Linked DNA regions of Drosophila melanogaster. Changing the gene in region 4 together with the main gene of any one other region gives a genetic interaction. Each region holds a gene or a part of one and is shown on either strand. Other genes may lie near its edges.

Region 1 (7,572 bases), on a different chromosome or scaffold from region 4:
GCATGTATATTTCGTGTAATTGTGTATATATATATTTCTTGCATTCCGCTACAACATTTCTGGCTCCATTGGCGTCGCTGGATGCCATTACAATAATATCTCATTTCGCATAATAATATATGTATATTACACGCAATCTAGACACAAACTGTTGAGCAAATCAAACAGCTCGGATTAACTTGGTTAATCGCGTACAAAGGCAAATCATAAAGAACCGTCTTTGTTCGATGCACAGACTTCTAAAGTTATTCTCCATTTTCGCTATAATTCATTGTTTTGCTTGCGTGACTACATGTGTAAAACATTTTGCCTAGAACCGAAATACAATGCAAATAAGGCAGATTAAACATTTACATCTAAGTGGGTTTCGAATCGAAGGGATTGCAGGTATGCGTGTGTTTGTTTCTGGTGGACAGACAGGGAAGACGATCAAAATGAACAAGTTGTATACCTAAATCGTACGAGAATATCGCTATATATAATATATATATATATATCTATATGCGTGTGTATAAATACATAAGTAAACGGGGGCTAATCCCCGCGAGCATTCACAATAGTTTTCATCACACATCTAGGTCTGATGGTGTTCGCCGCCACTGGGACTGCTGTTGGTGTTGGTGTTGTTATTGGTGTTATTATTGTTGTTGTTGTTGTTGGTGGTGGTGGTGCTGGCGGTGGCACTGGTGGCACCACTGCTGCTGGGCGTCCGCATCACGATGCGGGACAAGCTGGTATCGCTGAGCGAGTAGATTTCCGGCTCAAAGACAGGCGGACACTCCATATTTGGATAGTCCGGCGTTGCCGCCTTCGAATCCACAGATCCCGAACTGGACACTTTTGGGGTGGCCGCACACTCTGATATCGTTGCCTCCGCTTGCTCCTCCTCTCTCTGCCTGCTGGTGTTGACGGGAGGCGGTGGCGCTGGGGGCAACGGCGGCTGCAAGCCCTCCGACGAGCACAAATTAGTGGTCGAGGTGGTTAGTATGCCAGGTCCACGGTAACTTCGATATCCCGCCTGATTGTGCGTGGGCAGGGTGATTTGGGAGAAGATCTCCTGATCGCAATCGGGATCCGCACTGCTTGGTGGCGTTACTGCCTGCTGCTGATGGTGATGGTGCCCGAACAGCGTGCGATGCAGCAGCGGTGAGCCCAGGAAACGATTCTCCTTGGAGGGCTTCGCCGGCGTGCCACCCGATATGGAGAGTTTCGAAAAGATTGGTATCGGGGCCGAGTTCTTGCGATGCGCATCGTACTTGGTGCCCACTATCTTGTCTCGCAGATCCTGATTGTACGTCTGGCTTTTCTTGATGCTGCTGCCGCTGCCGATTATGGTGACTCCATTGCCTACGGCTCCATCCAAGGCGTGATTCGATTTGGACTTCTTGTTCAGCGGCAGCGTCATAGTCATCGCATGACCCGGCCCACAGCCACTGCCCGCGGAGCCAGTTGAGTGCTTGGAAAAGGGAAACCGACGATCGCCGCTAGACTTTCCTTTGGACTTCTTTTGATCCGCACCGGATCCGGAACTCTTGCCGCTGCCGCCGCTGCTGTTCTTGTGCAGGAAACTGGAGAGCTGTAACTGCTGTGAGCGCAAGAAGTGCTTGGCCTTGCTGCTATGTTGCTGCTGCGTCTGCTGATGTTGTAGCTGCTGCTGCTGTTGCACATGCTGCAGGTGGTGCTGGTGATGATGATGATGATGGTGGTGCTCTTGCCGGCTGATGGAGCTAGTGCTCGGCTCATCCCCACATATCAGCTCGTAACCAAAGTCGCGCAACTTCTGACCTTCCTTAGTTCTGGTTCTCTTAATACTCTCGTCGTCAGGCTTAAAACTGATCTCGTAGTCGGGTGTTTTGGGCAGACTCACGCTCTGGATCTTGGGCAACTTTTCCAGCGGCTTTGTCACGCTGCTGCTCATGGCGCTCTGCTGACTGGCCGTGGATTCCGTCCGTGCGTGCTTGTGCTTCTCCACACCCAAGTGCACTCGATTGTTGTACATTTCCTGGGCCTCCTCCTCCTGTTTGCGCAGCATCAGATCCTTAAGCGTCACAAAGCCCTGTATATTATGGCCATGGTCGAGTGTATTACCCACACTCATCTTGGGGAGTAGTGTTTTCGAGGTATGGAAATCGAATTCCACCAAATTCGGATTTGAGGCGTGCAAGAAGTTGAATGGTGCCTTCTTCAAACTCGACTTGCTACTGGGACTCTGGCTCTGGCTCTGACTTGGACTCTCCTCGGAGCTCTGATGCTGCAGCGATGTGGGAGTGGCTGTAGGCGTGGGCGTTGGCGCTGGCGACGCGGGCGGACCCAGAATCGAAGCAGATAATGATACGGCAGACTCGGTTCCACTGACCACCGAACTCCTACTTGAGCTACGCGACAGTTTAGGACCCACCAAAGGTGGAATCTGTGTCGGCGGCATTGCGGGATCATGGTAGCCCGGTGTATTGGCACCAATCTGAATGCCAAAACTTCCGCCTGGCACCTTCCTATAGCTGCGGTATTGCTCCGTTGGCACAGGGATGTCGCTCGACGGTTTCGCTGCACTGCTCTTGAATGTATTCGTAAATTTGCGAAACGAGTCCAAGTAGCCGCGTTCATGCTTAATGGGTGCAGAGGAAGGTGGTGTTCCGCCAGATAGTGTCATCGACATGGACATTGACTCCTTGTTGCCTTGCGGCGAGGGCGTGCTTAAATTCTGGATCACAAGGGCATCGCATTCCTCGCCTGAGCTATCGTTCTCCGAATACAAATCCTTTGCGTCACCACCGCCTTTTGAACCCGTACTAGGCGGCACTTTGAGCGAAGCCTGGCGCAAGAAGTCCACCCATTGGTTAAGTGCGTCCAGCGACTCGGCCGCAAAGTAGAAGCTCTTGGCCGTGTGGTAAACTTTAAAGGCATGCGGTTTGGAGTGCACTTCTTTTGCCAATGAAACCGTAAAGCCCGGTAAAAATATTACCAAGCTGGCGCTGGTACTCTGCTTACTGCGAAATCCGTACAGTATCGTATCCAGCATCACGAAATAGATTCTCGCCCAGTAAGTCACTCCGCGATGATTTTTCTTGCGCCTGTACAGATGACCTTGGATATCCCCAGTCCCCAACAGCTTGAGATTTGTGTTCCGCCGCTTGGCCATTAAGCTGTGCTTCTTTTTAAGGGTCAGTGTCCGGGATTTGCTGGGCGTATGAAGCTCACTGATCTCCGATGGATCAACTGCGGCTGGTACAGGTACTGGCACGGGAATGGAGATACTGGTGATACTACTAGCCGGCTGCATGCTGGCTGGTTTTGGTGGAGGTGGAGGCACCGCCGGTGGCGTCATTTCCCTTTGCTTGCGGGGTCGCGGTGGCGGTGCTGGCGGTGTGACAAGCAGGAACTCCTTTCTTGGCTCAATCGCTGGCGGCGTATCCGATTCTTCACCCGAATTATCGTATGCCGGAGTACTATGACTCTTGTCTAATCGGCCCCTTCGACCTTGCTGCAACAAAGGCATGTTAATGGCCTCGGCCAGGGGCAAGTCCTGACCTTTTGTAGCCAGATTAATTGCCTCTAGGAGCTCCTCTGCGTTTTCTGTTTTGCAGTTGCGCAGCGTTTCCAAGGCGTCCTCGTCTCCCTCATCCGCAAAGGGAATCGGTTCAAAGGTCTCCAGTATGGTGTTCTCAACGTTACAGATAAATTTTTCATTCTTCATCACATAATCTTCCTTGGCGTCGAACCGAACTACTTTGCTGACACCCGGCTTGTAACGATCCACGAGGAATTCGCGCTGCGAGTCCTCCGTCAGCTGCTTTAGTTTTCGCGCCTCATGAAACATTCGCCTGGCCTTGTCCGTGGAGGTATCGCCCGCAATCCCAATGCAAGTGGTCGGCCTTGCTGCCATCTCTAGGCCATAACCGAAGGATATCGACTTATCCCGTATACTGGGCGAGCCAGGGTCGCAATTGGTGGGCGAACCAATTCCTGGCTTTCTTTCGTGCCACGATGGAACGACTAGATCCGAGTTTTTCAGGCTAAGATACTCGCATCCACAAATAGTGTTTCTTCGTTGGAGCAAAGCTCTTGGCTTTGGGTAATACAAACGGATCTCCCGTGCGGCTAGCTTGGGATCCGTTGGTGTTGGAATATCACTGCAACTGGAATCAGAGTCGGAGGCAGAGGACACTGGATTGGCCTTGGTAAGTACCTCCCTCTTCTCACTGCTTAGGGATTTACTGGGATCTGGCACCGCGCTTCCTGTTCCTCCTGTTGCCAGTTGCTCCGTGTCCAGGGTTAAAAATGCAGCACGGGGACTTGGCATCTGTGCCGCCCAGCGGGCGGCCATATTCCTCTTCTTGCTGGGCAACCTGTACGGCTGCATATAGATCTGTCCAAACATCTTTGTGTGCTTCGGCCGTTTCTTCACCGTCAGCACCACATCTGGAAGTGCTTCCCTCAGATGCTCCAGTACTGTGCGATGCTGCCAGCCCACAACGGTCTGGTAGTTGATCTGCACAATCTCGTCGCCATCTTCGATTTTTCCGGAATTGTGAGCTGGCGAGTTGTACTTGATATCCGTGACACGGTGAATGCCATTATAACTGGACTCTATGTTGAAACCCAACTCGGATTCGCGTTTTTTAAGGGTGACAAGGTTCAGAGAGGCTGGCTGCAGTACCATGGGATCAGATATGTCCTGGATTACAAAGTTGGCAAGATTCTCGAGCCGTTCCGCTGACTGTCGAATCGCTGGCACCGGCTGCAGGGCAAAACGATCACGGTGGGCAATTGTGGCCAGCTCCAGGCCGCATTTGAGCACATTGCCACAATACTCGCGGTACATCTCCTGCTTACGGAACGGTGTTCGCTCCAGGCTGCCCACCAATGGCTTTAGAGTAGCTATCGTCCTGGTAATATCGTGCAGTATCCGGGTATCGATCTTAGTGCTCTCCGCATGATTCCTGGCCAGTTCGCGATGCAGATTCTTAGCTGCCGTGGCCACATGCAAGGCCATGAACTGCAGATTGTCGTTTTTCAGGTGATAATGCTGGAATATCAAGCTCAATTAACGGGTTTGTATGTCACAATATTTGTTTGGGGTCTCACGAAGTTTCTTAAGTTCTCCACCGCCTCCAGCACGATCTCCTGATGGCCAATGCGCAGCATGCCCAGATTCTCCAGCTCGTATGGCCGTATGTTGAGCAACGCCCGTCCGCCGATCTCCTGCTTGGAGAACTCGTACAAATACCCCTTCATAGACTCATCCAGACCTGCGAGAATCAGGAAAACATAATTATTATGATGTGCCTGTTGAAACCTTGAACAAAGCGGAAATTCTTGTTGCACTTGTTGTTGCTGCTGCTTTTTGGGGCAGTGGCTGCGAGATGCAGTTTTTTTTTTCTCAGCTGCGCTTTCCTTGACCTCGAGCATTACCTTTTATCCAGTCGGTGACCTGGTCGGGCGTCCACTCGGCGATGTTGATGTAGGCCATCGCTGCTGCTGCTGATGATCCGCGCTGGGCCGCACCTACGGCATATTATCAATTCGTGCTGCAAAAACACTCGAACCAAGTTCAGAATTGCTATATTGTTGCGTCTCTCTGGTCCGGAGTGACCATCTTTTAGAGCTCGAACAATACTCGGTGCTCGTTAAATACTATCGAACTAGCGTGGCAATCGATTATTTAATGCATTTTAAAACTGAACAAAATGCAATTTATTCAAAGTTTCTTTAAGGGACAGAACAAGAGGAAAGAAAACTATAAATTATGATACTACTACATACTACTTTCTCCATCCAAGATAGCCAGGAAACAGCCACATGTTTCTGTATGTGTTTATTTTTATAGTCTTAATTAATATGAATTTGGCTTGCAGTGCAAGAGAGTAAGAGTAACAGTTATCGATAGAGGACCAACAAAAAATAATCGAATTGGTAATTGTCTCATGTTGATATATTTTCCGAGCACTACCGCTATTTACAACCTTTTATTTGTTAGTACCTAAAGATCATGTTGTAAGCTAATCTTTTAGAAACCACAAAGTTTTATGTAAAATATTCACTTATATTGACACAAGCTCGAAGTAATAATTATCAAACATTTAAAAACCCCGCTTCGGATTTAGCCATTCACATTCGAATTTACTGCAACCCAACAGCCAACAGCGCTTCGCAACACTGTCGCCGCCCCAATCAAACAGCTGAGCGCCTTGCGAATGGAATTGAATTGCCCCAAAACATATAAATAAATGCCTCAATGACAGCATCAAATGGAGATAAACAAGGCAATGAGCGTCCCTCCGCTCCAGTGCCTTTCCCCAGCTGACAATTAGCACTTTACTTGACCATTCAAGCTCGGGTAGATGTATACATATGTATGTATACGAAGGCGGCGCACGTTTTTCCAACGCAATGCCTTCAGAAACGAATCAGTCACTTGCTCGGAGAGGGAGAGGCACGACGAAGTAAATCACCGCGTGTTTTTTTCTAATCGCTGCAACTGGCTGCTGCAATCACTATTCTCTTGTCGAAATGTCTGTGACCCAGACGAAACAAATCAAGTTCTACAACCCATCGAGTTCCGCTAGCTCCGACAGGTAACGAACGACTTTTTAATGCCGCATTAATTCACGCACGGCCAAAAGTAAAGTGTGAAAATCCAACAGAAGTCATTAGAATGTGATACACACTCACACACACACCCGCGCACAAACATATCTAAAGAGCATGTGCTCCAAGTCATTCATCGTATGTACGTACGTACCTACTTACATGTGTGCGTCGTGGGGCCTCTAATCACGCAATATAAATAAATGCTGGGAAAATGGCATAGGGCCTGCGTTCGCAAACACCACTACATGTGCAAACGCATAACATGTGATAAATTCAATTTCGATATAGTCGCCGGTTGCATCGGATCGGAAGAGAGTGTGAGAGAGAAGGCAAAGCGAACACCCTGCGAGAACAGTTACAAGCTAGGGATGGGCGCGTCAGCGAGTAACTTGTAATGTTGCAGTTTGAAAAAATAATATTCATACCACAGAAACATTATTAAAATAACTTTGGTGCGATCCGTGGAATGCTATAAAAAATTACTTGTGTATAAGTATATGTAGCGTGAAATATTTTATGATTTTATGCGCCTAAAAATTAGAATATTTTTTTCTCTAACAAATTAAATATCCTTCACTTAACAAAAGTAAAAGAGACATTTGTTATGCAAATTTGGCTAAAATGTAGAGCACATCTTCGACTGAGTCGTGTCACGCCAAACCTCATGTACCACATGCCCACCTCTATGAAGGCTTGCGACAACAACAATGCAGAGACGACGCCGGCAGAGGAAACCGCAGCGCAGCGCAGCTTTTTAACCTTAGCTGCCTTAACACTTTTTCTTGTCATTCAATCCCCAAACGCCGCTCACCTCGCACTTCTCGCTACACCTTTGGCTTAATTTTTTGTTTTCATTAGTTATCGAATAAATATTGGCCGCAACGCAAAAGGTGAATCGCTGCGTACGAAATAAAAACTCTAAATCACATGTGATCCACGCCGGCGGCGATTCGCGTGAGCGTTGTGTGAGTGAGTGACCCA
Region 2 (7,652 bases), on a different chromosome or scaffold from region 4:
CCAGTGTTGACAATTTTATAGGAAACTACACTGTCAAGCTCTCTTTAGTTCAGTTCAAAAAAATTTTAAAAAATATAACTTTCTAATGAAAGTTCAGTTCAAAAAAAAATTTTAGAAGAATAATAAAATAAACAATTTTAGAATAAAAAAATTATGTAATAAAAAAATCCATCTTAAATTTAAGATAAGACCTGTGCGGCAGTTAATCTCAGTGGTCTAAGGTCAGCAATGATCGAATATGTATTTATTAAATTCAAATTTCAAAAACACCCGTATGCAGAGGAATCGATGGCGATAACAATGGTAACAAACGCGATTATCTTACGAAGTAATTTCCAAACACTGGTTTATAGGGAACAAACAAATGTACCTGTCATTATAAATATTTTGAGACTTCCTTTAACATATAATTCTCTTTGGCAGTATTTAATTTAGTGGATTAAATTATCCATTATTATTTCGTAAAGCCACTTAAGAAGAATCACCTTGTAAATATTTATAAGGATAAACGTTTTTACGTAGTTATAAATTGACCTAAATTTGCCTAAAAAGTACAAGTTGCTTAAGGGCCAATTAAACTAGAGGGTTCGGGGAATAATATGAGTTTTCACATCTGCTTCATTTCACTATTGATACTTGGGTATAATCAATCCCTTCAACATATCAAAGCTGTTTCCATCGGGCTGCACAATTTCTATAGTACCAGTTGGTAATTTCACCTCCAAAAATCCAAAGTCATCGATTCCCACAATTTCGGCCTCTTTTTCCTGATCTTTTTGTAGGCAAATCTTAACAGATTGCCCGCTGTACATAAAAACATGTTAGTAAATGTAATATGCAAATTAAATGTATTTTAAAAATGTTTTAAATTTACCTGTGTAACCATAGCGAATAGTATAATGCATAAAAACTATCAAAGTCTCCGTTTTGTACTTCTCCCAAAAGTCTTTCGATTTCATTGAATATCATGGCAATAAGTAGCTCGTACTTAAGTATAGGTAACTTGTTGTTCGGGACACGGGTATTATATTCTCTTATCAAGTCATTGATGCAAACTGTTGGTCTTGAATTGTTCAAATTAATTCCACTTCCGATATTGACGATGGCTTGGGATCCCTGAAGTGTGGTATTAATGACGAGGCCCCCAATTTTCTGATTTCCATTTGCATAAATGTCATTCGGCCACTTAATGGAAATATCCAGCACCTGAAGGTGATATGAATAAATTAAGTAAAACTCGCCTATCTCCGTAATATTACATATCATAAAATATAAATTGGAACATCAAATATTAACTTAAAAAAATTATTTTTAGTTATAAAATTAAAATATTAAAATAATATCTACCTAATTTCCATTTCCAAATAATAAAATATAAATATTAAAATATTTGACTTATTTCGACTAATAAAATAAAAATGTGAAAATAATTTCTGGATTAATTTTTCAAATAGAATTGAAATATATATGCTATATACACTCGAAGACATAATATAATTACAACATAAGAATAATAATACTTAACGTTCTATTTTTTTTAAATACAGAGGAGTGCCCCTAAGTTTTTCGGATAAGTGCTTTTAGTACATTTTGGTGTGCAGTGAGAAGGAGTCCTCCCGGGTATGGTCACACTTCTCTCGATGCGCTACTTGGGTGTAGAGAAATTTCAACAACAGCCGAGGAACTTGTACAAATTATTGCTTTTTCGCATTGCCTAAGCCGTTTAGAGTTGCGGGCGTTAGCGTGCGCGATAGCCGGAGCACCGAACGTCAAGGTCGCTTGGCGAGGGCCACAATGCGGGGCGGAGTCCCAGCCATTGGTCCCATCGAATCGTCGAGTCCCCGAGGGGGCGTCTGAAAAAATCAATCGGGCTCCACTCCGTCGCGAATAAGCAGGATGAGCAGCAACAACAACGCACCCGCATCGGCTCCAGACACGGGCTCCACCAATGCCAACGATCCCATCTCCGGTTCGCTGTCCGTAGACAGCAACCTGGTTATCATTCAGGACATGATTGATCTCTCGGCCAACCATCTGGAGGGCCTGCGAACGCAGTGCGCGATCAGCTCCACGCTGACGCAGCAGGAGATTCGTTGCCTGGAGTCGAAGCTGGTGCGATACTTCTCCGAGCTGCTGCTGGCGAAGATGCGGCTAAATGAGCGCATCCCGGCCAACGGGCTTGTGCCCCACACAACGGGCAACGAACTGAGGCAATGGCTGCGCGTAGTGGGCCTTAGCCAGGGGACTCTTACCGCCTGCCTTGCTCGCCTGACCACTCTAGAGCAAAGCCTGCGTCTCAGCGACGAGGAGATCCGTCAACTCCTGGCTGACAGCCCCAGCCAGCGAGAGGAGGAGGAACTGCGACGCCTGACCAGGGCCATGCAGAACTTAAGGAAGTGCATGGAGTCGCTGGAGAGCGGTACTGCGGCTAGCAACAACGATCCAGAGCAGTGGCACTGGGACTCCTGGGACAGGCCCACCCACATTCATCGCGGCAGTGTGGGAAACATTGGACTGGGTAACAATTCAACCGCCTCCCCGAGAACCCATCATCGCCAGCATGGTGTCAAGGGAAAGAATTCCGCTCTGGCCAACTCCACCAACTTCAAAAGTGGCCGCCAATCGCCCTCAGCGACAGAAGAGCTGAACAGCACACAGGGTTCCCAGCTGACTTTAACCCTTACGCCCTCGCCACCCAATTCGCCCTTCACGCCTTCCAGTGGGCTGAGCAGCAGCCTTAATGGAACACCACAGAGGAGTCGTGGTACCCCGCCGCCAGCTAGAAAGCACCAGACCTTGCTGAGCCAGAGTCATGTGCAAGTGGACGGGGAGCAATTAGCCCGCAACCGTTTGCCCACTGATCCCAGCCCCGATAGCCACAGCTCCACCAGCTCGGACATCTTTGTGGACCCAAATACTAATGCCAGCTCCGGAGGAAGTTCCTCGAACGTGCTTATGGTGCCATGCTCTCCGGGCGTGGGTCACGTGGGCATGGGTCATGCAATCAAGCATCGTTTCACCAAGGCCCTGGGCTTCATGGCCACCTGTACCCTGTGCCAGAAGCAGGTCTTTCACCGCTGGATGAAGTGCACCGACTGCAAGTACATCTGCCACAAGTCATGCGCACCGCACGTACCGCCCTCCTGTGGACTTCCACGAGAATATGTGGACGAGTTTCGGCACATAAAGGAGCAGGGAGGATACGCCAGTCTGCCGCATGTGCATGGCGCGGCGAAAGGATCCCCTTTGGTAAAAAAGAGCACCCTGGGTAAGCCCTTGCATCAGCAGCACGGCGATAGCAGTTCGCCGAGTTCCAGCTGCACTAGTTCCACGCCCAGCAGTCCGGCGCTGTTCCAGCAAAGGGAGCGCGAGCTGGATCAGGCGGGCAGCAGCTCTAGCGCCAATCTGTTACCTACGCCTTCGCTTGGCAAGCACCAGCCGAGTCAATTCAACTTTCCCAACGTGACGGTGACGAGCAGTGGCGGAAGCGGTGGTGTATCGCTCATCTCCAATGAACCAGTGCCAGAGCAATTCCCCACGGCGCCTGCAACAGCCAACGGAGGACTTGATAGTCTGGTGAGCAGCTCCAACGGGCACATGAGCTCGCTCATCGGTAGCCAAACTTCAAACGCTTCTACTGCGGCCACCTTGACGGGCAGTCTGGTCAATAGCACAACCACCACCAGCACCTGCAGTTTCTTTCCGCGAAAATTGAGCACAGCCGGTGTGGATAAGAGGACGCCGTTCACCAGCGAGTACACGGATACCCACAAGTCAAATGACAGCGACAAGACAGTCTCCTTGTCTGGAAGTGCCAGCACGGACTCGGACCGGACACCCGTTCGTGTGGATTCAACGGAAGACGGAGACTCGGGACAATGGCGCCAGAACTCGATCTCACTCAAGGAATGGGACATCCCGTATGGTGATCTGCTTCTGCTCGAGCGGATAGGGCAGGGACGCTTCGGCACCGTGCATCGAGCCCTTTGGCACGGAGATGTGGCGGTTAAGCTGCTCAACGAGGACTATCTGCAAGACGAACACATGCTGGAGACGTTTCGCAGCGAGGTAGCCAACTTCAAGAACACTCGACACGAGAACCTGGTGCTGTTCATGGGAGCCTGCATGAACCCACCATATTTGGCCATTGTGACTTCATTGTGCAAGGGCAACACCTTGTATACGTATATTCACCAGCGTCGGGAGAAGTTTGCCATGAACCGGACTCTCCTCATTGCCCAGCAGATCGCCCAGGGCATGGGCTACCTGCACGCAAGGGAGATCATCCACAAAGATCTGCGCACCAAGAACATCTTCATCGAGAACGGCAAGGTGATTATCACGGACTTTGGGCTGTTCAGCTCCACCAAGCTGCTCTACTGTGATATGGGCCTAGGAGTGCCCCACAACTGGTTGTGCTACCTGGCGCCGGAGCTAATCCGAGCATTGCAGCCGGAGAAGCCGCGTGGAGAGTGTCTGGAGTTCACCCCATACTCCGATGTCTACTCTTTCGGAACCGTTTGGTACGAGCTAATCTGCGGCGAGTTCACATTCAAGGATCAGCCGGCGGAATCGATCATCTGGCAGGTTGGCCGTGGGATGAAGCAGTCGCTGGCCAACCTGCAGTCTGGACGGGATGTCAAGGACTTGCTGATGCTGTGCTGGACCTACGAGAAGGAGCACCGGCCGCAGTTCGCACGCCTGCTCTCCCTGCTGGAGCATCTTCCCAAGAAGCGTCTGGCGCGCAGTCCCTCCCACCCCGTCAACCTTTCCCGTTCCGCCGAGTCCGTGTTCTGAGGGAACTGCAGCATGGCCACTGTCACTGTCTAGTACAATTTCGATCTACCAACTAAGCTAGCTCGCTTTGTGCCCTCGTCCACTCTACACAAACTCTCTCCCAAGGCGAAGTTCTATCGAGCCGAGCGAAGATTGTAAATACATAAACGTAACTACCAAATTATAGCAATCCATTTTAAAAACTACATACATATGTGTAGGCATGTATCGGGAGCACTCCAGTTGCAGTTGTTAGCAAACGAAACAAAGGCAAATCAAATGTTAACTCGAAAAAGACAAAACGCTTAAATGTTTAAGAGCAGAGGCAAACAGAGAAGGCATAGACATACATATACAAACAAACAAACAAGCACTGTGGCAAACATAAATGTAAACGTTAATCAGGTGAGCAATTTCTAAATTGTTAATTATGTGTAAGAGAACTATATATATATATATATATATATATATATATATATATATATATATACATGTATATACAGCAGCAATGTATTGTATATGACGGACTAGTGTTAAATTAAATATATATTGTGAATTATGTATGGTCAAGTGTATATAGTAAATGGACTTTAAATGCGAAATCGAAACAAAATGTCAAATAAACTTATTAAACCTAAAAAATCACTTTGTGCACTTGGCAGTTTTACAGATCCTGAGGTTCGTCCCATCGTCCCACAGGCGGAGATAATCGAAACAATCTTAACTTAAGATTCAACTAAATGGTAAAACTTTACAGTCTTGACTCACCCCGTACTCTTCATGACTGCGGAGCGAATTAACAATCGCCGTTCCAACAAGGTGCTGCAACAGAGGCAGCCGAGAGCTCAAAGCGCTGTCCATGGTCAGGTGCAGCTGCAGCGAGAACATGGCACAGCCCGGCGGACTAAGCCACTGGAAAGCACAAAGCGATGATTTCAACAAGAACTTAAATCTGGATGCTTCTAGAGTACTAACTTGATTATTTCTGCGACCCACTCCGGACGTCTGCTGCACGGGGAGCACAGCCAGGCCGTGGATGAGCTCCAGGTTGTTTATGAGATGCATGGAGCTGCTGACCACCGGTGCATAGATGACCAGTCGTCCGATGTGTTCCGTCTTAAGATTCTTTAAAATAAGAGGAATTTGGGTTAATTCTGCTATAGACTAGAATTAGAATGCGCTCACATCGAAGTAATCCACGGTGGAGAAGTCATCCGGACAGGAATGTATGAGTATGGGCAGGACATTGTTGTTGGCCACTGGAGGCTTATCGTCCTTGCCACAGAACTTCATCGTCAGGTTCGGCGTTGCTATCACGTTGTCGGATCCGCTGCAGCGCAGACGTAGCTTCTCCAGAAGCTCAAACTTGGCCTGAATAACAAAAAGAGCTAGAATATTGGATTCTGATGCCAAAACAAATGGAGAGACGAACTGACCTCGTGCCGACCTAGGAAATATGCGTGCTTGTAGACAACTCCAGGCTGCGGCTGGTCGACACCGTCTCCACCGCGGACCTGCACATCCAAGTACTTTCCCAGGAGATCCGCAAATATCTCGAGGCGAGTTCGCTCGTTTTGCTTTAGAATGGAGTACTTAGTCTCATCGGATTCAAATTCGCTGGGATTCATTTCCAAGTGCACCTGTTTTTTTTTTTGTTTCATAGGAATGTTTTTTTTTAATATATGTTTGTTATATTTACATGAGCAATCACTTACTTGGGAGAAGACGGCCTTTCCGCCGCTCTGCAGGCTTTTGGCCAACATCAAGCTGGGCGTATTCCAGGTTTCCTCGGTTCCCAGCACATGGACATCCAAATTGTGGCTGTGACCGGCCAGATCCTTCAGTTCCATGGACCTTGGACATACTAGAGCTCTGAGCAGCGTTTCGTGGTTTGATTTGTGTTTTTTTTTCGATTTTTGTTTGTTTTTGGTTTGTTGTTATTTTAGTTATTGGTAGGATGGATTATAATAGTGATAGCACACACATATAGAAGCACACGCAGAAATTTAAGGATTTAGAAGGTAAACGTAGCAGGATGGTGAAAAGGTTTGAAATGCCAAATGTTTATAACACAATTAAACAATTAAATTACATGGATGGCACATTCAATCGATAAAAAACAAGAGTTAAGAGAGCTTACAGAAAACATAGATAGGTTAGTTAGTTAGGCGGATTGAAAACGGAGTTTAGATAGATGGATTACAGTGCACACCGAATCAAATAGAAATTAAGCCATATTTAGAGTAAACGAGACCAATTTGAGCATGAAACATTTGAGAAATAAAATGAGAATTGGAATTGGTTAGAATCGGTTTAGTATAAGAACGATTAATTAGGATTAATTCATTTCATTTCAAGCCCCATTCAGAAAAAGTAATAATATACATAAATGAAACAAGACAGGAGGTTGGTTTCGGCAGGCCGAAGTTCATATACCCTTGCAGAAATTACATATGTATATGTCAAGAAAAAATATAATACAAATTAAAACGGGAATTATATATTCCATTTTTATTTCATTTATTTTTCGATTATTCCTATGGAAGCTATAAGAAATAGAGGACCGATTATTCCCTTTTCTTACTTACATATTTCAGGAGGAAGTCTTTTCATGCAAACAGCTTTAAAACTGAGAGGCTAGAATCCTTAAAACTGGATGAACAGACGGACTTGGCTGGTAAAACTGATCAAGAATGAAGAAAGTGCCTTTTAACCCTTTAAGCCCTGAAAACTTCTGACTGGAAGATATATACCTTCTGCAAGGGTCTAAAAAGTAAAGCGTTATAACTTGGCCTCTTTTTTACAATTTACCCGACGGCTGTGCAATAATCGACTTGAATAGGGCTTTCGGGTGTATAAAACATGCAACATTTCGG
Region 3 (4,548 bases), on a different chromosome or scaffold from region 4:
GACTTGACAATTGTCCTTATCGATTCGCGAATTCCACAGTTTTTTTTTTGAAACCAATCAATCATTCATATGAAAATAAATTCCTCAAATGCAGATAAGTCCAGAGGGAAAATCGAGGAACAAATGCGTAAGTTTGAAAGTGGCACATTTTTCAAAAACCGCCTTCAAATCGCAGCATTTCGAGCACCAAAAATCATTCGGCAGGGTGCCAAAAACGAGTCGCAATCGCTAAAACTATCTGAACAAAAAACCTTATCGCCCCGACACGTAGATAACCGAACCGAAAAAAAAAAATAAAATAAAATAAAATATTATATATACGTATGTATGAGGGAGAGCGAGGGCGACAACAAAAAACCACACGAATCGAATTGAAACGAAAATCGGAGCATATGTTTTCCCTGGAAAAGAGCAAAATTTTTTGGGTTGGCCCATAGTAAGTGGACCAAACGAGTGGAAGATGTCTGGCAGTCCGAGTTTTTGATGTCTGGAGGAGAGTCTGGGCGCAGCAGATGCTTAAAGAACAGATTGTAAACGAATATGATCTTTTGATATGGTGCGCACTCCTCGGCCAGACGACAACGACAGCAACAACTAAAACACCAGCAGCGGCAACAAATAGGGGTGCAATTTTTCGATGTGTACGTAACGGTAGAATACACATTTAGTCGCTGCTCTTTTCTTTCCCAGCGCCTGGCCCTTTTTTCCTCGCGCTGAATGTAAAGAAGGGATCTCCGATCCGCTGATGATCCTCGGGATGCCTGCCTGTGTACACATGTGTTGTTCTATCTGTCGCAGAACAGTCCGAACTGCATGTGTGTGCGGAATATCTATGTGTGCGGAGTATCTGTGTGTGTGGCATATCTGTGCGAGTGTGTCGTCTTGTCTTGTCATGGGATCGATCTTGATCTCGGCCTGTCTGCAGCAGGTTGATACTTTTAGCATCGGTCCGGGCACAGAATCCGAGTTTAACGTGGCATGGGGCAACGAACCAGCCCGTCGAACATCCACTGAACTGTAATTGTCTGTGGGTATTTATGGAAAAGGATCTTGAACTGGTCTTTCATTTCGGACCAGACGCTCGAGGAGGGAAAGGGAGAGGAGCGGTTGGCGGTAGCTGGGCTCAATTATGATCCGACGATCGTCACACATCAAATTATCGATTATGGCAATAATTTCTTATCATTCCCTTGTGTATTTTGCTCGCAAATTGGTTTTTTTTAAATAGCCCAAGGGATATTAAACATGTCTTTAGAGTAGTTCAATGATCGTAACTCCTTAAATTATCGTTTTTTGGCTTTAAGACTGCGATAAGGACGTAAATCAAGTTTTATCATAGAAATAATAACAATTGATCTAAGCAAAATCTTATTGTAAAATTAATCATTTTAATGGTAACATTTTTATAAAATATGATATCGGTTAAGCCTTTAACTATCCTTTGATCTTTTTTGTATTAATAATTACTTTAATTTACATCCCAAATTGTAAGATCCTTTTAAAAACCCTTTCAGGTAACCCAAAGTGCAGAACAGGAAAGCCCCAATTATACATACTTTAAAACCGAAAGGTCAAAAGAGTAGCACTCCGGTATCAGTTTTATTGATACTTAATTGTCTAATGCGATCGCTGTGCTAGATTCTTGACCCTAACCAAAAACCGTTCACACATTCTCGATTACCAAACCCCTTGGATTGATGGCCCGAAACGCGATCGTGGGGCAGGCGAAGCTCATTTGCCGCACCGGAAGCTGTAAAAGGAACAGTAGTAATTTCGAGCGTGTTTCCCACAAGGGTTGTGGAAGTGCCCCACACACACACACTCACGCACACTGGCGGCTAACTAGCTTGGCTATGATGCCGAGTAGAAAACCAATTCAAATTCTGTTGGCCTGGCCAACAACGAGTTTATAGAGGCAGCAATCCTGAATCGAGGCGAGATCGCGAGATCGGCGGATCTACCGAGCGGTAGCCAAACCAGTTTTCTCCTAGATTCATTCAAGAAAACAGGCAACACCAACACAAAAAGGGTTTACATGCACTCAAAAGAAACTCTCTAAATTTCATATTTTTAAGATAAATATGATTTAAAAGTTATATTTCAAAACTATATATCAACAGCAATTAAGAGATATATGGTTTATTATTTGTTTTCAATTGTTTTGTCTTTTAATTTTCGCTGGATTTTTGTTTCGAGTGTAGGGAAAATAACAAAAACTAATACTTGAACTACTGTTTTTCAACACTTCACTTTTCTTACCGGTGCGGGGTAATAAAATAGCGCCCCTTCGTGAACAAGAAGGCGGGGGCTACTGGGCTCTTGATTTTTGGTTTGTGGGTTCTGGATTCTAAAGACCGTCTTTCGGTTGGCTTTTTATTAGGGTATCCAAATTAATTACAGCTTCAAATTAGGCGCACAATCTTGATGGACTCCGCAGCACCGATGACTATCTCTTGCTCGTTCTCTCTCTCTATCACGCTGTATAGATGTGTATGTTTTAACCCTCCGGTGGGATCAGCAGGTTGATTAGGGGGAGAGAGAGAGGGATTACGTGCCGGGCACAAAGACAAACGAAAAACCGAAAGGAACAACTCGAGAAGAAATCGGGGATCGGTTTAGCTCGGCTTATAAGACGCGAAAAGAAACAAACCGAAAAAAGGCCGACGGATCGCTGGCAAACACACACACGCGCGCGCACACTCACACTCAGGCACTCTCACGCGATGTTTGAGGAGATTTTTGTGGTTTTATGATGAATTTCGTATATAGAAATTGGTTTCCTGTGTTTCTGAACCGCGTTTTTTTTTCTGTTGCTGTTTGCCTTCCTTTTTTTGATGTATATTGCGCGCGCAGATCTTTAGATGTTTTGCTATTGCACTCATTCACTTACACACTGGGTTTTTGCTTGGCTTGCAAAGTGTTTTGCATTTGTTATTTATTTGTTATTTGATTCGTATAATTCATTCAAATCGAATTTACCGTAGCGCAAGTGCACGCTTCCCGAAAGAAAGACAAAAACAGACTGACCGACTGGCAACAGGCGGCAGCGACGCCGACGTTGGCGCAGACGCAGCGTTGACGCCAACGCCGACGCACCTTCTCTCTCCGTTTCTCTCTCTCTTTCTCTCCGCTGCTAAGATTAATATTTTTTTGTGTTGCTCTGGCAAGTGATAACAAAAATGGCAAATAATATGAAAATCGAGAGTTATATCAATCTGACTTATAAACATTATTCGCTATTTTACTTGATCGCTGGAATGAAAACGAAAAGGCGTGGGTGATCCTCAATCTCGCTATCTCTTTCGCACTCGCACTAGAGCGTGCATCATGAGCGCAAGAAAAAAATGGAAATCAGAATTACATATTTCGAGCAGCAAAAACAAAGTGTTTGCAGCGACAAAAAAATAGCAACAATTTATAAAAAAAATCTGCTTGCTCAGAACTCAGTGTAAGTGCGAATATGCGAGAGAGTGTGTGGGTGCGTGTATGTGTGTGTGTGTGTGTGTGCGGGCGATCGTTTTTGGCAAGCATTTAAACAGTGCCCAAAATCACTAGTATATTTAAAATATTTAGTATGCAAAGGGGGCGGAATAATAAAGACAAATATTTTAAAATTTGGCAGTCTCAGTCTTTCAATTGTGTACACTGATATAAAAATTTATTTATTTTGATTCTGGATTTTATACAAATCTATATTTTTGACAAATAAAGTAAATTGGTCAAAATATCAGTTCCAGCTTATTTAAAAGGAAAATTATACTAGTTTCTTTGTTATAATAATTAATAAAATATTTATTTAATATGAAATAATACCTATATGAAAATTTTGATGTGAGATTAAATTATCAACTTATTATTATCATTATTAAAGTTTGCACACAATGTGGGAAAGCTGCAGCTTGGGAAAATACTTTTGGACACCCCAAAAAAAGTTAAGCGCGATATTTTCCCACCGTGACCATGACAACCACTGTGCGTTCGAAAGGCTCTCTCTCTCTCTCTCTTTCGCGCAAATCAAAAACACAAACAGGTTTATGTGTGCGGAGAGTGTGTGCGACAGAGAGCGGCGATATGGAACTGAAACGACTGCAATGTTTTTATATTCCGGCAACGCATTTCGCATAAATTACAAATTACACAGCATAAGTGAATGCAAGTGCAGGGGCGGCAGTCAAATGGCCAGCTGCACCCAGAAAAAGGGCAATAAGATTCGGGATAACAAAACTTGATGGCGTTCCCGATTTTCCCGGCCAAGGGAGCGTATATGTACACATAAAAAAAAAAAACTTAACCAGCCTTGCATAACGAAACACGTGCAATAAAAATATGGCTGATTGTCAACCTCTGCTGCAACTTAATTGCTGCCGCAGAGGTAAAACTGAAAAACATAAAAGGGGGCGACAAGTGCAGCAAGCGAAAAAAAAGAACTCAAAGAGCGCATGCGCGCCGCTCTCCCACTCTCTCTCCCTCTCTCCACTGCGCTGGAATCTTACAACTCGTGTAGGTGAGCCGGATTTTTATGAATGAATGCGCCTGTGTGCGTGACTG
Region 4 (4,791 bases):
TATATAGGTGCTCTGTATGAACTAAGTTAATTGACATATTGCATTAACAATCTTTACAGACACAATAATCTTAGTTCCAACTTGCAAATTGCTAACATAATTTTTCCAATATTCCCACATATCTTAAAACTGTAATTACATTTTCAGTGCTATTCTCTCCACCTGCACTGTACATGTGTATGTATATTTGTCGCAAAGATTTTTACTCATTTGTAACGGAAGCAAATCGCTGGTCAGTGGGTGGTGTATTTGTGTTGTCGTGGGTGTTTGAGTGGTTGGGCGCTTCGGTGATGAGCATAATCCGCATAGTTGTTGCTCCTGCCCCTTTATTATGTAAAAATAGTGACTTTGGCTGGATTTGGCTATGCAAAGTACTTGCTAAGGCAATCACCTACACTTGCGGCAACTGCTAATTGAGAAATCCACACGGCGCTGACATGGAATCATTCGAATCCATTGAAATTGCCAAATTAGGCGTGGGGGTAACCCCTTGAACTTATCGGCTCGGCTTAACGGGTTTAACAAAATTAAATACACACATATGCGCATGTATACATATGTTCATGCTTGTAGAGTGGCTCCTATAGTCTGTTTTGCGAATCAGAATCCAAGTAGAATAGTTTTTTAAGTGTTGTCTCAAAGATGTATGCATACATGGATGTATGTATGTATGTGTGCTTATGACTCTGTAGAAGGTCTATAAACTATGTATTTTGAGGTTTTGAAATGCGAGCTCGAATCAACCCCCTTCCCCGTTTCCAGCTCGATTCATCCTCTTCAACAAGTTCATCTCATCATTTACAGTTTTAGCATGATCCGAAAAATAACAACAACAACAACGACAACAACAAAAGCAAGAAAGTGGGCACAAATAATCGTAACAACAACAATTGTGAGGTCAGTTTGGCACTAGTCAGCGTGTGTGATTATGTGCGCACTTATGTCTGCGTGCATGTACATACATACATATGTTTGTGTGCGAGCACAAAGAGACAATGCAAATTTGCACTCAAACAAAGAGAGAGCGAGTGCAAGTGCGAGTGCGAGAGAAAGGGAAGAGTTCATGAGCGTGCGTTGTGAATGGCTGGAGGGGTCGAGTGCTGTGAGTGGGGGGATCTTTGTTTATCATTTTTGTGTACTATTATTAAGGCGCCGCTGACGGTCGATGACGACATACACACACACACACACACACACACGCAAATGCAAACATAGAGTTTGCACGTGTTTGTGCAAAGTGTTTAGCCGCAAGAAGTAAAGTTCTCGTTTTGATTTTGTTTATTCAAAATTGAAATTCCCAGAAACAAAAGCTCCCATGACGATGATGATTCACATGCCAGACGCTGCGGGGAAAAACATCAGGAACTTTATCAGCTAATTGTGTCACAAGAGGACAAATAAGCCAGAAACATTTGCCTGCGCGCGTTTCTTGGTATAGTGCCATCAACTCGATCTCGATCTCAGTAGTTCATCTTTTATAATGCCCACACACACATACATATGTACATATATGAGCATATGTACATATGTACATAAGTCATATGTACATATATGAGCATATGTATGTACATAAGTCATATGTACGTACATACGTTTTTGATTATCTTAAAAAATTGTAATCACACGTACTCCTGCCATTTGACTTAGACCCACTTTCGATATTGACAAATTTTCAATGGTTTTACATTTTTTCCCCACCTCTATTCATAATTTCTGTGTCTCTTGTGTTGCTTAAATGGGCCGTTTTGATTTCTTTCGCGTCTCATTCCAATTCCATCCCTCTTCCATTCCCATTGCCACACGCTTGGCGCTCTTTTGCATTTTCTTAAAGTCGCCCAGATAAGTTCGGAATTACGTAATTAAGCGGCAGCAGCAACAACAAAAACAACATAACCAACAAGCTAACAATTAAGTATTTATTGCTTTCAATTTGCTGCCCGATAACAAAAGAAGCCAAAAAACAAAAAGGAAAAACGAGAGACTGGAAAAAACAAGCAGAACAAAGTAAATAAAAACCGAAACGGACACACATACACACACACACACACCGCTACCTGCGTCGACAGCGGCAGCGAAATCAGCGCCTCGCTTCAATTTTATTCCGTTTGAATTTGAAGATGTTTTTAGTGCACTGCCATTAAGTCCTTAGCACGCGCTTTTATTTCGCTTCGTTTCAATGTGCAGGTAGGAATAACAAAAAGCGGAGGATGGGAGTGACAACGAAATCGAAACTTTGCAACAAAATTGCATTTGAATGAGCAGCGGGGGCGCGCGGTAATTTCAATTATCAATAACATATTTAAATTCCCCATTCTCCTCCCCTTCTATTATCCTCTGTCCCTCCTTCCCCCCTCCACGGACTCCTACACCTTTTTTAGTCGCTCTCTCAACTCTTGATTGCTCTCTCTCTCCCTCTCTCTGTGCGATGGGAACGTTCTCTTTGCCTTTGCATCGGCCACTTCACTTCAGCGGAGAGCACAGTGGGATAAATTGGCAGTTGATGACCCATTGTTGCATTATTGTGTTTTAACCATAAAGCCAACAAATGCTTGGCGTTCAAGCCCTTCATGGAGTAACGCATATCAACGGATTGTCGGGGATTATCCAACGTCTTAAAGTCAAAATCTTACAAATCGCAGTATTTACCTGGCAAACGTGTTAATCCACAGGTAAGTTGGGCTGAAACCACCCTAAGTCAATATCAAGGGTTTTTTTTTAGATCTTTCTAAAGTTTAATTGTACGCATGTCTTAGCTTCGAATTCTTGTCATCCGAAATGCTTTGTTGTCCATTTGTTCTTGTTCTGGCCCACTGTGCCGCGTGTGAATGAACGTATAAAAAGTGAGAGCGTCGCCTGCCCGACTCATAAACGAAAATCAATGACTCCCAATGCGCGTACCCTTCCCTCACCCCCCTGCGGAGCCCAACGCTTTTTGGGAGTGATAAATGCCGCCTCAGCGTCGTCAGCAGATTTCAGCCTGCGCATGTTTGTCGGCCCGCAAACACTCGCAAACACACACACACGCTCTTCCCGTGATGTTTGTTGATTTGGCTGCATTCAAGAAACGACAGTGCTTGGGGCAGTGGGCATTGTTAGACTTTTAGTCGTTTCAACTCTACTTTCAGTGGGTATCATCCGCAACCAAAAGGAGGAAGGATGAACATTGCATGTGTGTACATACATATGTACATACGCAGTACGTAGTACGGATTACGTATTACGTATGGGCAGTTGCCATTTATGCAAGGTGGCTGTTCCTGCACTCGAACACATGTTTGTGTGGTCATTTGTAATTTGGTCAGGCGAGCAACAAGAAAAAAGGATAATGAAAGGATCAAATGTGCGTAGAACGTACATATAAAGGGTGTGATATCACAATTATTTTCGATGACTTCGTTTAATGTTGGAAAAGTAGACGGGAATGCATTACATCGAAGTGAACTATTTAACTTTGGATAGAACTGTTGTTTTTTGTAGGCATTTGCATTTCTCGCCGCTTCTTCTGCTCCTCCTCCTGCTCTTCGCTTTGGCGTTGGCGAGAGAGCGCCTCGTTGGTCTCTTTGTGTGTTTATGCTTTCAACATTGATACGTGCCACTTTTCGGATGCAGACTTGCGAGAAGCAGCGGGGGGGGGGGGGGGGGAAGAGGAAGTGGCAGAAGCTGGTAGACGGGGGCAACGTGTGGGGACAGCTGGGTGAGTTTGTAATTAATTGCGGCCTTGCCTCCCCTTCACCGCCAAACATCCTCATCCCCGGCAGCCAGGCTCCCTCGCTCGCTCAGGCAAACTCTCTCGCTGAGAAACCAGCCGCCAACAGTTTGTTTTCTTTTCTCGCCGCTCTCATCGTCACTTCCGACTCGTCGGGGGCAGAGGGTGGGCCAGCGGCATACTCTTTGTCTAGTCGCCAATCTCCCCGCACTCCACTTCATTCATGAAGCACAAAGTGTACAGCAGACACTCGCTAAGTGACTAGTGTTTCGTAATTCATTAAGATTTTTGTTGGTTTTCTTCTCTCATTTTTCCCGCACCAATTCTGCACTATTCACAAGTAAAAATGGCACCAACTCTCTTATTTGTGGGCACTAAAACGACCATGAATCGTCGTTCGGTGTTCACTGTACCTGCTGCCAGTAGCCCAAAAACGGACAGTGGCTGAGGCGTCAGCGTCGGCAGAGCAAAGAAAGCGCGCTAGTTACAGTTACAGTTACGTTACAGAGGGCCAAAGACAATGCTAGGCTTGGTTAACGGTAATTACAGCGTTTGTGGGGGGGGGGGGTGTGGTGTAGTGCTCGGGCGTAGCTAGGCAGAGGGATATTTGTTAATACATATGTAGCACTCGAATTCTTTAGTTGGTTTATAATATCATCAAGAATGAGGAAAAAACTAGCTAATTTGTTGATAAATGTTAAGATGCCCCTCTGTTTTAAGTCCTCACTAAGCCCATGAAAAGCACCGTTAATTGAGTGGGATGATCCCCATTGAAAGCGCAGTACTACAGCTAATTCCAATACCACTTTCAATATCCAATTGCTCGCCTTTCAATCGTCGAAACGGTGAACGAAGAGGAGAAAAGATAAGGGTATGTACCGAAATGTGGAAATACCCGAAAGGGCCATTGGAATATGGGATATTGAACCCTAATCGTGAAGACCTCGTGTTTTCTTTGACTCATCAGCCGATTTTGCGATAATGCGCTCTTTTTGGTATCCGTTGGATGATACATAAATTAAATACATAAATGATAACTTATAGAAACACCATACACAACTGTTTAGAAATTTGTGTCAATCACT

The links.
Region 1: of Raf (region 4) and cnk, changing one enhances a phenotype caused by changing the other (phenotypic enhancement), as found in Drosophila melanogaster (2 studies listed by BioGRID).
Region 2: of Raf (region 4) and ksr, changing one enhances a phenotype caused by changing the other (phenotypic enhancement), as found in Drosophila melanogaster (2 studies listed by BioGRID).
Region 3: of Raf (region 4) and pnt, changing one enhances a phenotype caused by changing the other (phenotypic enhancement), as found in Drosophila melanogaster (2 studies listed by BioGRID).

What each region holds. Positions count from the first base shown.
Region 1 is NT_033778.4:17,413,999-17,421,570, forward strand, and holds the start of cnk (connector enhancer of ksr), read right to left. Parts: upstream 6,010-7,572; 5' UTR 5,471-6,009; coding exon 5,413-5,470; intron 5,250-5,412; coding exon 5,086-5,249; intron 5,027-5,085; coding exon 575-5,026; 3' UTR 1-574.
Region 2 is NT_033777.3:5,477,882-5,485,533, reverse strand, and holds ksr (kinase suppressor of ras), read left to right. Parts: upstream 1-1,627; 5' UTR 1,628-1,896; coding exon 1,897-4,797; 3' UTR 4,798-5,544; coding exon of another isoform or gene 5,545-5,688; 3' UTR 5,689-5,751; coding exon of another isoform or gene 5,752-5,901; 3' UTR 5,902-5,961; coding exon of another isoform or gene 5,962-6,147; 3' UTR 6,148-6,212; coding exon of another isoform or gene 6,213-6,416; 3' UTR 6,417-6,491; coding exon of another isoform or gene 6,492-6,648; 3' UTR 6,649-7,144; downstream 7,145-7,652. Other genes in the region: Hcs (holocarboxylase synthetase), read right to left, coding at 627-804, 875-1,206, 5,545-5,688, 5,752-5,901, 5,962-6,147, 6,213-6,416, 6,492-6,648.
Region 3 is NT_033777.3:23,343,139-23,347,686, forward strand, and holds the start of pnt (pointed), read right to left. Parts: upstream 3,030-4,548; 5' UTR 2,260-3,029; intron 1-2,259.
Region 4 is NC_004354.4:2,293,685-2,298,475, forward strand, and holds the start of Raf (Raf oncogene), read left to right. Parts: upstream 1-1,781; 5' UTR 1,782-2,274; intron 2,275-2,469; 5' UTR 2,470-2,669; intron 2,670-4,791.